Schizosaccharomyces pombe: one gene and its partners. The gene in region 3 interacts genetically with the main gene of each other region. Each region holds a gene or a part of one and is shown on either strand. Other genes may lie near its edges.

Region 1 (7,023 bases), 500 kb from region 3:
TGCTGCTGTTGAAAAGAACACAAAAGAAAGTAACTCTGGTCCTGCTGGAGCTCGTGCTGCTGGCGCTCCTGGTTCAACCCCTACCTTATTGAAATTATACACTGATGAGGCTAGTGGATTTAAAGTGTAAGCCGTTAAACTCAATCATTATTAAGGTTTTTCTAACGTTAATTAAGTGACCCCGTTGTAGTGATGGTATTAAGCGTTGGTTTCATTGCCAGTGTGTTCTTGTTGCATATCGTTGCCAGAATCCTTAAGAAATTTGCTTCAGAGTAATTTACAGTTTCTAAAAATTTAACGTTTCACTTGGAAGAACTTCAAATACCATCTTTTACCTGTGAATTTTATGATTAGCTGACTGAATTGAGCTATCTATACATTTACGGCATTAGTAACATAGGTTGACGCCCATAAGCAGTAGTTCTTTTAAATATTTGTAAAGAATTTCTAATAATGTACATGGTGTATGTTTCATGGCATCGTATTGCCCTTTTAAGTAATCTGGAGCAATGGCGGTGTTTATATATTGCAATGATAAATGTTTTTAAAAATGGCAGAAAAGTATTTGCACCTAAAATTAAAGCCGTCCAAGTATATTACGAGAATTTTAAAGATTACACAAGCGGTTTCCAAGAAATACTGCTTTCTTCAGGTGAAGAAGCAAGTAAATCACCGCTTCGTTGAGAAGCAGAAGACTTGCGAGGAGGAGGAGTGGGAGGAACATTAACGGGTGTCAAGTTGGGTGCCGGTACACCAGAAGAGGAAGAACCAGACCGAGGTGGAAGCAATGGTTTTACCCTTGGAGCAACCAAATGATCTGGTTTAGTTGGCTTGTTGGGTTTAATGGGAATAATTGAGGTTGAGCTGCGTTGAGAACTAACACTGCTTCTGGCCAACGAAGAAGGTGCCGGGCTTAATGCGGGGATACTGTCTATTAATGACGATTTCTTATCAAATGATTGTTTTGTGTTGGATATCCAGTCGGGCTCTGCGGTAGGCTCAAAGGGATTGATAGGACGCGACGGATTTAACCTATATTCTGGGCCTGGAGGAGCAGCTATTGACTTCGCAGGGAGACCATCATCAAACCACCACTTACTACGTTCACTACTTGGTTGCTTAATTTTGTCAACTCCATTGGCAGGAAGATGGGGAATTAAATTAGGTTTACCCGCAACAGACCCAGCAATATCAATCAGAGTATAAGAAGTCTGACTAGCATCTCTAACTTCCTGCTTTCTCTGATTATAAAGCTCTTCAAACAGTATTTTTTTCTTCTCTCTATCAACTTTAACAATGTTTGCTTCATATGTGGCATAAATGGGTCTATGATCGGAGTAGTACAAAGGTACAGATTGATAACTATGGGGAACTAATTCTCCACGATATAAAATACGATCGGTCCAGGCAGGAACTCTATGCTTATCCGAGGTATCATATATGTCTGTTCCTATGTCAAATTTGTACGTAGGAGGAAAGGTAATCGGTAACTCTGAAAAAAACGGAAAGACTTTTCCGGTAAGCATCTGCTTATTTAATTGATCGTATTCAAAAAGGTAACTTAACTTCCCTTGCGCGATACAAGGTACGACTTCTTCATATGTCAATGAAATACGATAATTAAAGTCACCAAACCATACCACATAATCGTGATTGAATATGGAACGACCACGCCTAAATCTTAATCCACTAGCAATAGTTCGATAGTCATGATCTCTTTCATCGTAATTTGTGTAACCCGCTGCTAAATGAGAAGTAATAAAACAAAGACCGGTATCTTCGTAATCAAATCGGATGGCAACAGCACCTTTGTTTCCGGAAACTCCACCAAGACCAGTTTTCTTAACCGTTCCTTCCACGTTCTTGATACTGGGCAAACATGACTCCTTACAAAATATCATTAGTGCTGTACCAACCAGTTGTCCAGAACGTAATTGAACATATCCAGGTCCAGATGTACATTTACCGTTTAATAAGCGTTTGACACATGACTCCCATTCACGACGTTTGGCTGGGTCAGCACTTATTACTTGCTGCGGAGTTAATTGCACTATTTCTTGAAATCCAACCACATAGATGTCTGCCAAAGGTGTGTTTTCGGGAAATAACCAGTTTTCTAACTTTGTAGTAGCAGAACATCCATTCAAGTTATAACTAGCAACAAAAATTTTGACATTCTTATGTTCAGAAAATTCGTTTTCTCTTTTTCTCAGCTCATGGTTAACATACTCATGAATTGGATCATACAAAATAACAGGATGTTGGTCAATTAATCTGCCAAGAAGCAAATCAATTGTTTCTTGTCGCCCCTTATCTTGAAAGTTATTGATATACATTCTGCCGACGCTTTTAGAGAGATCATTAAGTGCACCCGCTATACTTAACTTTCCCTTTCTAGTGAAACTAGATTTAAGTGCTCCTGTTCCGGTGTAAATGCGAGCTAAGGCATCACCATTATTTGCCCAAATCGTTGAATGAACTTGCCAAAAATCATAACCAGCATTTTGCCGAGTATATATCATAACTTGTTCTAAAAACACTCTTGAAACAAGATTCTGAATAACATTTGTTCGGTCTAAGCAATCCAAACAATTGGTGCGAAAAACACCATCTTGTACCACAATGGATTGTCCTTCGTTGTTCTCAAAATAAAACCCGAAAGTTTCTGCATCGCTATAAATCATTGGGCGTATTTTATTGGCATCTTCAAAGGATCTAATTTGAGAATGATAGTCAAACTCCGTTAAATGTATTAAATCTTTTTCCGGAGAAAGTTGAATATGCTGTCTCAGACGCTCAGATAAACTGCGTTCTCCCGAACCTGTCCCTAAAAGATTGATTATGTGCACTGGTCCGTATTCTTCAATAAGACTGGTAAAGTGTTTTTCAAAAGCAGCTCGAGTTGCTTCTAAAGAGCGAGTTATATCAATTTTTTGACCAAACATTTGAACACCTTCTTGTTCCCAAAAAATTGGAATACTGCCACGGACCTGACAATAGCTTACACAGTATTTAGAGGAATCGAGGATTGTCTCCGTCTCAACAAAGTTAGCAACGTTTCCATCATCATCTACGCCACGTGACAAGAATCGGGTACCAGCGCGAAGCGAAGACAGTCTAGATATTAAAGAAAGCCGAATAGTCTGAATTCCTAACTTAAATTGTTCGGTGCTCGCAAAACCTCTGATGGCACATGTAAAGAAGCGACATCCATCCAATGCACTCTTTTCATCCCCATTCAAATGGGAGCGAAATTTGATCAACTGTCTAAGCATAAATTCGTTCCACATAAATTGAGTATGCATGCTATCATATTGAGGCTCCGTCATTGTTTGAGACGTACGAAGTTGCAGTCGGGTAGTAATGTCAAAATCGAGAGAAAAGTAAAATGATCCATTTGTTAATAGCTTTCTGAGACTACTGAATGGTTCAGCGGCATACTTGTAAGAATCATAGCCTTGGGTATCGGTATCGTAACCATCCGGAATATCAGGCGAGTAATTTTCTTGTCGAATGTGATCCCAGTTTGAACGATTAACACTGTAAAAGCAGACCTCCATGATACGAAAAACTCTTTCTTTATCTCGCACACGTGCTACCTCACTAGCTCCACTAATCACGCACAAAAAATTGGACCCTTCTAATTCAATCAGACCTAGAGTACCATAAATTCGATGACTGGAGATTTTTCGAAATCCTTCTAACGGCTTTTCTGACAATGCCGTAAATTCTGCAACACATACTGATAAAGAGTTTTTGTTCTGAGGAACCGAATGAAACATAAGAGCATGGTCCTTATTGACTAAGGCCAAGGATCTTGGCTTTTCCCTCAGCAGACATTGCATCTTAAGATTCACAAATGTGAACTATAAATAATAAAATTCGTTCTGTAATGAACGATGCAAGTCTTTACCAACGATGTTTGTCCGAACAAGTTATAAATCTTGGGATACGAAGTTGGGTGGTGTTGGGTGACAAAAACGTTCGTTACTTAAACATTATAGAAGCGCTTCTGTAAATTAGAATAAGTAAACGGCTTATTTTAATTTACTATGTTAAAATGTATTCCAAAAAATTTTGGTTCTAATATATGGAAGTTTCTGGTCAATTTTTAAAGTGCATTTGCTTTACAAAACTCGTAACCCTTGTAAACATATTTCATTGATTATGGGTAGAAAACCATTGAAACAAGAAAATCATAAGAGAAGCGATCTTGCTAAAACGTAACGTAACAGGATTTCAAGGCACTTCCATAAGATTGGTACTGTCAAAAAATGTATTATAATTCACTTTCGTTCATCAACAGTGCCATTGTTAATTTCAAAAACACCAAGTTGCACAAGAATACAGCGGTTACTCCAACGTATTAAAAATAAAAGTCAAACAGATACAGTATTCGGCAGAAAAAACCCCCATCTTAAGAGCTAAGATTATTTGAGCTCTCCGAAGATGTTCGCTGACGCTGAATAGCTTCAACTATGGCAATTTTTTACATTTCAAATGTGTTGGTTACTGTAATAGTATGTTTAATCTCGCAAATAGTGGTTATTGTATTGTAGCCACTTGAACCGAATGCTTATTAATTGAAAGGTTAGATGTTTTTTGCAATACAGTTAATTTCCACAAATAGAGCAGCAAAGTATAGTACTCATTGTGGCTACGTCGAGAATAAGTATCCAACTTGCTAGCCAATTCCGAGTAATCAGCGCACATCTAAAAATTAAGATTGGGTTTCCGGCATTGATATTGTCACTTTTTAGAAGGCTCGATCGATACTTATAATCTTGATTTTTCAGAAAAATTAAAGAAAAAATTTTCCTGGCTGGAGCATATTGATATTCCAACAGTCTGCAATTCGATTTTGACTCGAAGTGTTTGTTCCTTGCTTAGGTCCCTGGCTTTACTTTAATATAGGCACTTTTCATGAGAATCCATTGAAATTGTACGTTTTCTAAAGCCATAAAAATTTAAGTTAGGTCTCCTCTGTAAATTGTCGTGAATATTTCATAAGTGAGACAAGTCGTAATGGCGTTACTAAATAGGTTGGCAAAAACCTTTTCCCCTTATTATGGATTAAACAAAGTTGAACAAAAGCTTTTAATAAAAATAGATTGGTTCATACTTTCTTACTGTTGCGTTTCATATTTTATTAATTACTTGGATAGATCATCAATAAACAATGCATACCTTAGTGGTATGCAAGAGGATTTGAAAATGCATGGTAATGAATTGCAAGATATAAACGTTGTTTTTACATGTGGATACATTATAGGACAATTGCCAGGTTCTTATGCATTACAGAGAGTACCAGCAAGACTTTGGTTTTCGGTTATGAATATTTTATGGGGACTTATGACGATTTTTTCATTTGCGGTACATTCCGTTCGAGCATTGATGATTTTACGCTTTTTCATGGCGGTTGCGGAGGCATCTACATTTGCTGGTACGCATTATATATTGGGCGCATGGTACAAAGAAAGTGAACTATGCAAACGTGCCGGAATTTTTTCAGCCTCTGGTTTAGTCGGCACAATGTTTGCTGGGTATTTGCAAACAGCAGTTCATTCATCATTAAATGGTAAAGGTGGTTTATCTGGTTGGCGTTGGCTTTTTATAATTGATGGCATTTTGACGATTCCTCTTTCATTATATGGGCTCTTTCTGTTTCCTGACGTTCCAGAAACAACCAAGGCTCCTTATTTTACAGAACAAGAAAAAGAATTAAGTTTCAAAAGGCTACCCGCTCGCCCCAAGAAGAAGCCATTAACGCTAAAAGCGATAAAGGATATTGTACGTTCATGGCGAATTTACGGTTTGTGCATCCTTTGGATTTTTAGCGGAGAAACACAAGCTATAGCTGTCAATGTATTGATGGGTCAGTGGATGAAATGGAGCAACAAATTTTCTGTTGCCCAAATAAATAATTACCCAACTGTGATTACAGCTGTTGGCGTAGTATCAACGTTAGGTGCTAGTGTTATTTCTGATAAATTAGCTGGAAACCCAAGATGGCCTTTTGGACTTTTTCTGTGCGTAATTACTACTGTTTCTGCTACAATACTTCTAGCATGGAACGTGCCAGATGGCGCAAAATTCTTTGCTTATTTCGCTTCTGGTTGTACATATGCTGGACAAGCAGTTTGGTTTTCTTGGGCAAATGACATTTGCCGGGATAATGATCAGGAAAGAGGAGTTGTTGTGTTTTTGATGAATATGTGTCAGAATATCTGGCATATTTGGTGGGCACCTATAATGTATCCCAATACTGATACGCCTCGATTTATAAAAGGATTAATTGGTTTGCTGGTGGTAGGAGGAATAGTCTTTGTTAGCTCTTGTATTGTTAGTTACATGCAAATCCGCGATAAAAGAATTAAACGATCCATCCAGGATGCAAAAGATTTCGATGATGTATTCACTGAGCATGAAAGTTTAGAGTTAAAAAAAATAGGCAAAAATGATGAGGAATCACTCAACACAACTAATGCGGTCAAAGAAATTAGTTCTCCAGGGCTTGTGATAACGCGACAGCGAATTTCCATGCCAAAAGAAACGAATGCCCAAGATTAGTACTAGAAGATTAATGACATAGTATAAATATTCCTTATGCCTTTAAGTACACATTTAGAGTAAATTTGCTGTTCATATTGATATCAACCTAACATAAAAATTTACCACAGTTGGCTCATCTAATTGACCAAGCCCTTTGACGCAAACGCAAACGAATACCTTTGCACACATACTCAAAAAGAATCTGCTAACAAACGATTTAAGGTGCAGCTGAAGTTAAAAATTTATAACCATTAAATAGAAATACCAACTATACGTATAGTTTGGATGGTATCCGGCAATGATCAACAAGTTATTGAGTATACATCAGTCCTAAAGGAATTTAGCGATGGTGTAGACTTAATGGAGCTAAAAGAAAATTTTTTATATATTAGGACTAGAGAAAAAATTGAAGCTAAATTAATCTGGGCAGGAGAGTGGGAATGGAAGCCCGTGAACGAAACAAATGAAAAT
Region 2 (5,184 bases), 540 kb from region 3:
ACTTCAGTATCAAATGGAAAAGTTCAAGTCTAATGTGTAACGTTCTATACTTTTTTTTTTTGACATCAAATCACCACACTATTCACACATAATGCAATTCAAGAAGTGCTTAAATTAGCTACGCAATTTCGTATTCGTTTAGCGCTGCGTAGAACTGCGATAAAATTTACTTGTGATCTAGTTTATAGTGGTATGCATGATTCTTGTATGAAGTCTATATTCATATCTCATGTTCGTATAAGCTCATAACTGAACCTCATTCCTCATTTCAATTACCGCCTATTTATAATGTCGTAAGCATAGTTATCTACGACAAGAAAATGAGTTTGTATGAATATTGTCTCATATCTAACGGATGATAACAGAACATGTTATTTATGGTAATAATGTAGTATAGCTAATAATAAATATATTATGTAAGTTTAAATTAATAGTTTGAGCAAATAGATGCAATACTGATCCATCTCAAATTGTTTGAAGATAGGATAAGTCGTATAAGTTTAAATCCTCAGAGGTTTCATGGTGTCTGTCTCTTTAGTGTTTGAAGTCTTAGAAACCTTTTTTGGTCTTTCTATTACTTCCATTCTTTCGGGCCGTAGAAAAGATCGCATATTTACACGTTGATTCTCTTGACGATAATTTTGAAAATTCAGATGAGATATCCATCGCGACGGTGTAAAATACTTCTCACGAAGATATGACACCATTTCAGGGCTTTTATTCGTAAAATATATCCATTTTCGTTTTTTTTCCTTATAGATTATGTTTTCGTTAACTAATCTTTCTTCAATTCTTTTGGCATCAGCATAGCTGCAATCTTAGATAATGTTAGTATATGGTCAATGAGTTGGTAAATTTCCTTACTCAGTCGCGCCGCTAGCTTTTGGAACCCTTGATACTCTGACGCCCAAATACACCGAATTGCTCGTCTGTATGCGACCAACATGGTCATTCGGTCATACAAACTAGATTCAGAATCAACTAACAAACATGTATAACATAACAATTGGTTTGGTTGGCGAGGATCAGAGTCACTCTCAAATCCATAGCAAGCACAGTGAACCCATCCATCACATCTTTCGCATTGAAACTGTGTAAAATATTGTTAGTCTTTAGCAGGTATAAACGATTACACACCATTTCTGAGTCTTCCGTCGAATCACCGCATTCACAATTCAAAAGTGCTTTTTTCTTTTCGGCTTTGTCAACTTTGTCACTCCCTGAAATGTTTTTTTTTAACCAATTGCTTTTCTTTACTTCTTCACAAGGATTGTTATTTTTTATTTCCCTTAATCCACGACTTTCATTCTGCATTTTCTCACATTTTCCTTGACTCAAACTTTTTTCAACTGATTGTTCATCCAATATTTGAGTTGAGCCTATTTCATCGTATTTCAAAGGCTGGAGGAACTTTTCGAGCTGAGAATCAATTTTTTCTTGAGAATCAAATAATGATGATTCTTTATTAATCATGATCTTCTCTGTACTTATCGGTACAAATGCATGAGAACAATGTGAAATCGCAATACTATAGATTAGTAACTTGAAATTTGTTTTAATTTACTTACCCATTGTTTGATTCATAAAAAGATACAATATCTTTGAATTCTCCTCGATTGAGCCAAGACATGCAATCTTTTGTTTCTACGGTATTTAAAAACACGCCAGCTTTAGTTGCTTCTCCTTTTGATAATTGAAAGCGTTCCATTTTTGTAATAATTTGTACGACTTTTTCTTCGTCTTTGCACTCTGTTTTTACGTTACCACTTAAAAATAACTTTATTACAAACCTTTCTGAACGTTGATAAGCTTGATAAAACTCTCATGAAGTCTGTTAAAAAATTTACAAACAAAAGACTCACAACATATTTTCTCTTCACTTCCAGGGTTAATTGTAAATGAAAATATCTCCTTTTCAACCGCGTCATCCTCTAATATTGACTTGCATTGTGACGAAATAATCAGGTAAACAGTAAATGGAACTTTCATTGATACAAGTGAGAAAATATAAGTTTTCTAAAATATTAGTTTATTTCTTTAGATAAGTTTTAAACACTCACCATCATTTCCAAAAAACTGTCTGCTTCTTTGTCCACTCCAGCTTGTAAAGAAACCACAGTAGGTTTCAATTGACAATCAAAGTCAGCTCCTTTAAAATGTTCAATTTCGAAATTGACTTTCTTGTAGCAGTTTTCATTGAAAAGAGCACTTGCCTTCTGTTAGCTATTTTAATTTAAAAATTATATGTCTGCGTACCGCTTATAGCATAATGTTGATATCGCGAAGAAAATTAAATTTTTAAGAGTAAAGTCAGACTTAGTTTGCAGAATTTCCTCTTTGTATGAATTCATTTGTCATTTATACTTAGAAGTAAAGGGTATTTGATAAGTTGATATCTATATATGGTAATTTTGTGAACGCGTCGAACGCGTCTTAAGTGTACGTATATTACAGTCCCACCTGTGGTTTTCCAACACTTTAAACTACACTAAAATGGCTTACATAGATAAATGGAATGCGAAAAGCATGTTTTACGATGAAGACATTTGGTAGCTTATGAAGTAATGTAAAAGCCTTTTGTTAAATTAAATGTCTTTTTACATTTACAAAGCTAAAATGTTTGTTTTTTTATTTACTATAGTTTGCTAATTATAAAAATATAGTACGCTTTTGGGTAGAATGGACGCTATTTGAAGCTAAGGATTCAAGAAATTCGCTTATCCCTTTGGTAAAAAAATTTTGGCCTCAACAAACGAATTTAACACTAAATAATTTATAAATGTAGAATAGATCATTTAAAAAAATATTATTTTGCATTCTTATTAGATATTTAAAAAAGAAAATTATGAGTAAACATTTAAAAGTCAACAAACAATTAGACAAATATTATATGATAGAGGAGTTTCCAGAATAAATAGCATGAATCTATTTCAGTTTGGAAACGTAAAATAAAATTTCGAGATCTTTTATAGATTTCTAGTATCTCAACTTATAAAAGCTCAAGAAGATTTAGTAGATCCAAACTCTAGGACCTCGATCCAAAAACGGTTATTTCTTAAAACAGCAGCCACACATACATTTTCATTATAAGCAACTTGCCAGATTATATCCAAATCAGTCAATAGGTCTCTTACTAACTTTCCGGAACGAATGTCCCATAACTGTAGCGTACTATGGCTTCCACTGACAACTTTGCTCTCGTCGTGTTGAAAAAATATGTGTCCCAAAGGACATTTTAAAATATCTCGACAACTTCCGGTGTTTAGATCCCAAACTCTCAACGATGTATCAGGAGGAGCAGAAGCGGATACCAAGATATTTTGGTTAAATGTAACTTGACTTACCAAATTCGAATGACCATGAAGGGTCTGTAGAAGTTCTCCAGACTCAAGGTTCCAAATACGAATTTTAGCATCCGTACCAGCGCTGATACATTGTTGACGAGAAGGATTAATTGTGACACTGTATACTCTCCCGACGTGTCCCCGAAGAACATGTAAACAAACGCCAGTAGATGCCTTCCATACTCTAAGAGTACCATCATAACTGGCACTGACAATCAAATCTCCAAGACAAGCAACTTCACGTACCGAGTCCGTATGACCACGTAATGTTCGGATGTAAAACGGATTGGTCGTAGCTGAAGTAAAGTCATTATTCTGATCAGGATTTTCATTTACATTAACAAATGGTGGATCGTCAAGGCATGGAAGACTCCATAAACGGATCGTACAATCCCTTGAACTTGAAATTATATACGGAGGCATTGAATTAGCATCATTTGAAGCTGGTCTGTTTTCTTTTTCCACATCATCAGTATCAGTAGTACTTTGATTGCCTTGAACTATTTTGATACAACGGATTGTTGACGTGTGTCCATAAAACACCTGTTTACATTCACCGGTTCTAAGGTCCCAGACTCTTACTGTCCTGTCTGTGGAGCCAGTAACCAAAGTATCCCCAACGTATTCAAAAGTCCAAACATCACCTTCATGCTCTTCTAAACTGCGTATCAGGACACCTGTTTTCGTGTCATATATATTAATTCTAGGACTGCAGGTGCTAACAATTATTTTGTCATCATCAAACTGAAGTTTGGTAATAAGACGAACTCCATGAATTGGGAATGAACATCGCTTAATTTTCTCCGGGGCATGGAGCCATCTTTCACGAAGATTAAAATGTCTAAAATAGACCCGCTTCATTATCGCACAGGCTGACAAAGATTGTTCTAAACACATCGTACGGATTTTACTATCAATTGAATCCCAAAAGAAACCATCTTTTAAAAAGAGACTTTTCCAAAGTTCTTCGTTGGACGATACCAACTTATACCAGTGATGCGAAACTTGCGAAACTGCACACAATGAAGGTGCATCTAAATGCGTAAGCACTAAATTTGTAATCTCAGCCGGAAATCCAGTTAAAAAGTTCTTTTGAAAGATAGGAAGCAGAATTTTGTGAATATTTTGAACAGCATGTTTTCCACATCGAGAAAGAAGATGAAAAAGTAAGTATTGACGAACACTTTCGGGTAATTTTTCGAAGGAAGAAATTAATTGTGCTAATTTCAAAACAGCATTTTTTTGAGAGCTCAAATGATTAGAAGGATGAATGCTAGGATTTTCTGAAGAAAAATCATATATGACAGGTTCATGCAAAGAATTATGTGAAGATGAAGATGAATGAGGGGGAAAAGATTGACGGGTTTTGGAATCGTTGCCGAGTAAATTAGGAGAAAAATAAGAGTAATTAACAGAATTATTTGGTGCATCAAGTGAGAATGTTGTTTCACTAGCGACTTCCTTACTGTCACAGTTGTTTGGGTAGAAAACGTTCGAGTAGTTAGTAGAAGGAAAAGTTTCATTCTTTTTATTCCCATCACTTTGAGAATTGAAGAGAAACCGCTTATTAGCATGCAAATTAGAGCTGAGACTAGAGTTACGGCGTTTAAGGCACTTTTCGCGATGCTCTGACGGCAGCTCACAACTCAAATGGGGCCGGTTAAGATCACAATGTAGATATAAAAGATTTTGCAAGTTTTCCAAATTTTCTTTATCAGATAAACATCGATTGTTAGTAAATATCATCGATTGCTGACTTCCCTTGCTATCAAATTGTAGACTAACACGACTAAGCTCCTCGGGAATTCTGGTCATTATATTATTTCCTTCCAGGAGATCT
Region 3 (5,693 bases):
TTGACAGGAGTTACGTTCTCGTCATCAAAAAGGACCCAGCCATAAGTTTTAGTGCGAACGATAGACACATAATGACCACGATGTGGACCGCCTCCTACGTGAACAATAACAGAGGAAAGATAATACATTCTTTCAGCATTCTCTGCATCTTCGGTGGTAGTAAATAATCTCATTTCGTTGGTAAAAACAATAGTATAGAAGAGTTTATCATGGCCCTCCTGGGTTTCGTTATATTTAAAACGTTTCAAATGTAATGAGAGGATTTTCGGTAATTTTTTTATCTTCATTCTTTTTTCTGCTTCCTGCAAACTTTTGCAAACATCACAATGAAACTTATTTTTGGAGGACAACATCTCTGAAGCAGAAAAAGACCTTAAACAGGAAGTTACAGAAGTGTGATTTTCTATATCTATGCTAAGGTCTAAAAAGCTTTCATCCCTTGACGTTATGTTTTCACAAGTTAAACATTTCGTCTCGCTGGTAAGCGTTCCTTCAAACAAAGAATGAACCCATTTTGGATGCATCACGTCGGAATGATTACCGTAGTATTCATCAAGAGTTTCTGTAACAGAATTAAGAAGAAAATTAAAAAACTCGTGAGCATCTTGCTGCTGAGTACTGCGAAAAGCTTCATTGTCTCTACGTAGAACTTGGATAAAACGCTCGGGAGAACAAATACCATAACGACAATCACAGCAACTTACGGAGCAATAAAGATCCTTTAAACAAGTATATATGTTTTCTTTCATTCCATAAGCAGAACAATTGCTTTCGCCTACAACGATTTGATGCTTCGTCCCGGATTCAGAGCCGACGTTACTAATATCGACACAGCCGCAAGAATTTATACCATTGGACCCGTATAAAGAGGACTTCCTATTCTCCATGCTCTTTTTCTTACTGTGTCGTGAGGAAGATGATTCAGGATGGTTGGTTTTTGTACAAACGCTTTTAAAATTTGGAGGAGCACTCGGAAGAGGATACGAATTTAAAGAATCACGAAAGGGCTTTAAATGGTATAAAGATACTAAGACAGAACTCACGTAACTATTTCGTTAGAAATTTACAATCATAAAAGCAACGCTACAAGTATGATCGCCATACCATGTATTTCCATACTAAAAATATGTTAGAGCAGAAGAAATTATAACTAATAAAAATGCTTACATTTGTTAAACCATAGAATCGATCTGTTAGGGTTTCAGGGCGAATTGATGGCTTCGGCAACTCTGCTTCCCAAGTGCTTTTACGCCGGTCAGTGGAGCCTGGGGAATTCTATAGTTTGTCAGTCTTCAATTCATAACTAACAATTGAATTACCATTCCCATCCAACGAAGCAGCGACATGCTGAGTTGAACTAAAGGATGCTAAGTTTACAAACCAAGCACAGCGGGGAAGTGAACGCAAAGGGAAGCTTTCACGCGCTCAGAAAGGGGCGTACGTTGGTGATCATAATCTTAGGCTATTATTATATTAACAGCCAACTATCTAAAATAACGAAGTGCAATGTATTGTAAAATGAGCGATAAAACTCAGTAGATATTAAGTCAAAAAAGCTATAAATAAACCGTAACTAATTTTGGAAATGTGATCTGGTTAAACGAAGTATCAAATGTACAATAAATTAAAAGAAAGTAAACATCAGTTTGGTGAAATGGGAACAGATGAATTTCTGCAATGTATCAAAATTTACTCATTAATGCAAGTTATGTGTAATCGTAGTATTCACCATCCACTAACCTGTAGAAACCGATTTGGTGTTAGAAGATGGAGGATGATCTGCCTTTTCTGAGACTGTTTCACGTGGGATTTCCTTTGAAGGAGTGGCTTCTGCTTGCTCGTTCTGACTTGGCGTGTTTTGACGAAGAGTATGGAGCTCACGTTCAACTTTAAGAATGACTTTGTGGAGTTCGTCAAAATCCTTTTCGGTACTATCAATTTCCTCAGTCGAAGATTGGAGTTCATTCTTTTTCTTCTGTAAAACAAACTGCTTTTCCATGATTTCGTTAATACGAACGATTTCATGTTGTAAACCAAGAATCGCTTCAGCAACTTCATCTCGTCTATTCTTTTCCTTTCTACGAGCCCTCCATGTTTCAAATAAAATGGCTCCTCCAGCAACAGTACTGTAAATTGTTAGCAAGAGAAGAACATTGTGACAAGTTGGATTTCGTAGCTCCTTCACAATGTGCCGTATTAAGCATTGTGGAGAGGAAGTACGTCAAATCGTATTAATTTTCATACAATATAAAAGTTTCTGATAAAAATGTTGCACCAGCATCGACTGCTTTGGCATCGTTTAAAGGTCGTAATCGTACATTAGCTCCTCCACTTTTAGCTCTGTTAATTCCTGTTATTCTAAATTCCGCGCGATGCATCCATTGAGCAAATTCAATACATGCCTATATAGAAATTTCGTTAGTAATGCTATAAGATTCTCTTTATCATCTATTTTACTGATTTATACCTTTCGGAAAGCCTTGTGCTCTTTAGCTTGGGCTTTGATTGTATTGGCAATCGGTTTGGATAATGTTCTTACTAACAAGCTTCCGATTTTTAAGGCTAGAGAAGACATTGGATTGTAGAGAAATGTTAATGGATACCAGAACTTCAAAAATATTCGAGGGGGAATAAACCCGCAAAGGATTTCAAATTACCGACTAAAAGTACTACCACCTCAATTAAATAGAGGTATAAAAGAAAGAAATCTCCGATAAAATTAGAATGCAGATATAAGCGTGTAACAATAGCTAGGATATTTATGCAAGGTCGAAGATATACTCTTCCGTTAATCAATAGCAATATTTAAAACCGCAACACCAAGTGCGTGCTTTATTTTTTTAATCTATTAATTAGAAAAGTTATTGGAAGAGGAAAGTAAATTTGATGTTGCTGAACTTGATATGCATATTCTGTCGGTTTCTCTGATTGGTTTACTAATCCTTCTTACACCGATCCCTGTGTGTGCTTAATATTTTGCTTGTATTAGAAACTTTAGTGTCGCAGTTATCAATACTTGTCCTTAGTAGTACAGTTGTATTTTCATTTCTTAATGTAACGTACATACCATTCAACCTTTGACTTACTATTATATATTTGATTTTTAGTTAATGACTTTTGTTAGCGAACCGTATGTTATGCAAATAGTTCCAAGCAACTATAGTTTTAGGGAATACTGTAAAGTGCTAGTTAATGAGCAATACGCGTATTATACAACGTTTACAACAGTTTATCATATCACGCTACAAAATAAAGTACATAAGACTAGCAGTTTTCTACATAGCTTTGCTTAAGATTTTAAACTACCGTTGATAAAAGGGAAACGTAGCATGCATCCAAACCTACAAATAACTTTCTATAAGTATCGTAAAAACTCAGAAAGTAGATACCTAATATTAGCAGTTCACCGTCAGCGAATGAAACTCACAAAAGGAATGACAGCGAAGTACGTAAAACGTATGTATATAAAAATATATTAAAAGCGCATTCAGAGGTATAACCAACAAACATGTAGTTTAGCAGCAGTTGCTGGAACTTTGGGAAACGTTAGTGCCCTGACCAACCTTGACACTAGATTTGGCATTGGAAGAGGCAAATGTATTATTTCCCATACGTTCCTTAATTTGACGGGACATAGTTAAGAAAGCTTGCTCAACATTTGTAGAATCTTTAGCAGACGTTTCGAGGAAAGGAATATTCAAACTGTCAGCAAACTCCTTAGCAACAGAATATTCAACAACCTTCTTATCAACCATATCTGACTTGTTTCCTACAAGAAGACGATTGACTCCTTCAACGGCATATCTATCTATTTCCTGAAGCCATTGCTTAACATTGTTGAAAGAATCTAAGAAGCAAGCATTAGCCTCGGAACCGCGTCGGAAACAATGTGAAGACTAGAAAACGCCATAAAAATATCCCCCAAACGCCTTATAACGCATATACGCGCATATACAGAAAACGGAAGACAATCAAATTGGTTTTCCATACTTCACACATTACATACCTTGATCGGTAACATCGTATACGATGATAATTCCATGAGCTCCACGATAGTATGAGCTAGTAATTGTACGGAAACGTTCTTGACCAGCGGTATCCCACTATGATAAATCGTTAATAAAAAAATATCCCGGAACGCCAACGAGAAGTAAACTATCACTTACGATTTGAAGTTTAACAGTCTTTCCCTCTAATTCAAAAGTTCTGATTTTCTAAAAAAAGTTAGCAATAAATATGGTTAAGCTGCTTGAAAACGGACGTACAAAATCAACTCCGATAGTAGAGATATAGGATTCAGTATAAGTGTCATCGGCAAAACGTAGAAGAAGGCAACTCTTACCGACACCAGAGTCGCCAATAAGTAAAAGCTTAAAGAGATAGTCGTATCTATTAATATTAGCATTCATCTTCTTACGGTAAAAAAACTCATTACCTATTGATTAGCAATTATATCGCCCAATTTACAAGAATTCTTTAATTTTGGAAAGAAAATACTCTATAAATTGTTAATTTCTAGCTCCTGATGTATTGAATAGTATGCTAAATCCTTACTACTCTGGATTCATCGTATATGCACAGTAATGGCGGACGTTCTGTTGCTCGCTTCAGTCTACGCATATACCAACGCAGCGGAGTGGGGGACCCTACAGCCCAAAGAATGCTCACGGGCAAATCTTTTACTATCATGCTGCTAATTATATTAAGTATCGTTATTTCGTTTAGCGTATCTTAACTTTCCGTAGTATTTCATATGTTTTCAAAACAAATATATTATATGTGCAGACAAAGGCTTCACTCAAGTTAATTAATATAAAATTATAACTTTTTGTAGTTTTTACAGTCAATCTTAAATTGTAAATATACTTAACTAAAATCCATACTGTACAAACGAACGCCAAAATCGCGACTACAATAGTACATACTTCCTTAAAAACAGAGAAAATAATATGTCATAACGGAAAAAAAAATACTTGAAAAAGTAAGAGTAACAAAAACATGAGTCTTTTCTAGATTTTGATGACAGTTAAGTACGGAAACATGTATATTTATGTCAAGACTGTAGAGTTGCCAACATTAAAGTAAGGGGTTCAAATTAGAAGAGGTATAGATATAATAATGTACAACATAAAGAAAATTAATAAAATGAGATATAGCTCGGATTTGCGAATCGCTTTAAGATAAGGTAACCGGAACGAATTAGATTTATGACCAATCTTGAAGGGGTCGTATTCATGAAATAACAAGCAGCTAAAAGCACCAAAGAATTCTTAAAGAGTAACTAATTTGTTAAGATAAGAACTTCCAAAAGAATATATTGCACACTTACCTTTATACAGTTTCGAGATATTCGAATAAGAGCGTTAATAGATGACATGAAAAAGAACCGATTTTTTTGATACTTTTGCAAAATCAATTGTTCTGACATCGCAGTAATTTCTAGATGAATTCGCTGTAATGCTGATTCCATAGCAGCAACTCTGTTCTGTTGTTGCTTTAATATTGATAATTGTAGTTGAACGTTTTGGTTAACTGCAACGAAAATTAAATTATCTGGATTCTTCTTAACAATGGTTTGAGATTTGTTTGGTTCTATAGTTAACTGAGACGTGATAGGAGATATTTTGTTAGAACGGTCAACAGTTTGTGTACTATCAGAAACATCTGCAGGGATAAATTCCGTTGCTTCAACT

Evidence for each region.
Region 1: mutations in opa3 (region 3) and syj1 together harm fitness more than expected from each alone (negative genetic interaction), as found in Schizosaccharomyces pombe (2 studies listed by BioGRID).
Region 2: mutations in opa3 (region 3) and hop1 together harm fitness more than expected from each alone (negative genetic interaction), as found in Schizosaccharomyces pombe (2 studies listed by BioGRID).

What each region holds. Positions count from the first base shown.
Region 1 is NC_003423.3:3,434,375-3,441,397, reverse strand, and holds syj1 (inositol-1,4,5-trisphosphate 5-phosphatase 1), read right to left. Parts: upstream 3,929-7,023; 5' UTR 3,846-3,928; coding exon 615-3,845; 3' UTR 501-614; downstream 1-500. Other genes in the region: translocon beta subunit Sbh1, read left to right, coding at 1-126, 177-276; plasma membrane pantothenate transmembrane transporter Liz1, read left to right, coding at 5,026-6,570; SPOM_SPBC4B4.12C (uncharacterized protein), read left to right, coding at 6,838-7,023. UniProt on the Schizosaccharomyces pombe protein: Controls the cellular levels and subcellular distribution of phosphatidylinositol 3-phosphate and phosphatidylinositol 4,5-bisphosphate. Involved in distinct membrane trafficking and signal transduction pathways.
Region 2 is NC_003423.3:3,469,486-3,474,669, reverse strand, and holds hop1 (synaptonemal complex-associated protein hop1), read right to left. Parts: upstream 2,352-5,184; coding exon 2,257-2,351; exon of another isoform or gene 2,209-2,256; coding exon 2,061-2,208; exon of another isoform or gene 2,017-2,060; coding exon 1,848-2,016; exon of another isoform or gene 1,810-1,847; coding exon 1,569-1,809; exon of another isoform or gene 1,529-1,568; coding exon 1,138-1,528; exon of another isoform or gene 1,091-1,137; coding exon 865-1,090; exon of another isoform or gene 818-864; coding exon 501-817; downstream 1-500. Other genes in the region: cullin 1 adaptor protein Pop1, read right to left, coding at 3,000-5,184. UniProt on the Schizosaccharomyces pombe protein: Facilitates initiation of meiotic recombination and DNA double-strand break (DSB) formation at DSB hotspot sites by enhancing the interaction between rec10 and rec15.
Region 3 is NC_003423.3:2,931,864-2,937,556, reverse strand, and holds opa3 (mitochondrial outer membrane lipid metabolism regulator Opa3), read right to left. Parts: upstream 2,867-5,693; 5' UTR 2,576-2,866; coding exon 2,468-2,575; exon of another isoform or gene 2,403-2,467; coding exon 2,245-2,402; exon of another isoform or gene 2,127-2,244; coding exon 1,736-2,126; 3' UTR 1,435-1,735; downstream 1-1,434. Other genes in the region: ubiquitin hydrolase Ubp9, read right to left, coding at 1-1,047, 1,105-1,118, 1,168-1,275, 1,320-1,346; GTPase Ypt1, read right to left, coding at 3,516-3,847, 4,007-4,103, 4,167-4,214, 4,266-4,389, 4,558-4,568; SPOM_SPBC1703.09 (uncharacterized protein), read right to left, coding at 5,138-5,281, 5,330-5,693.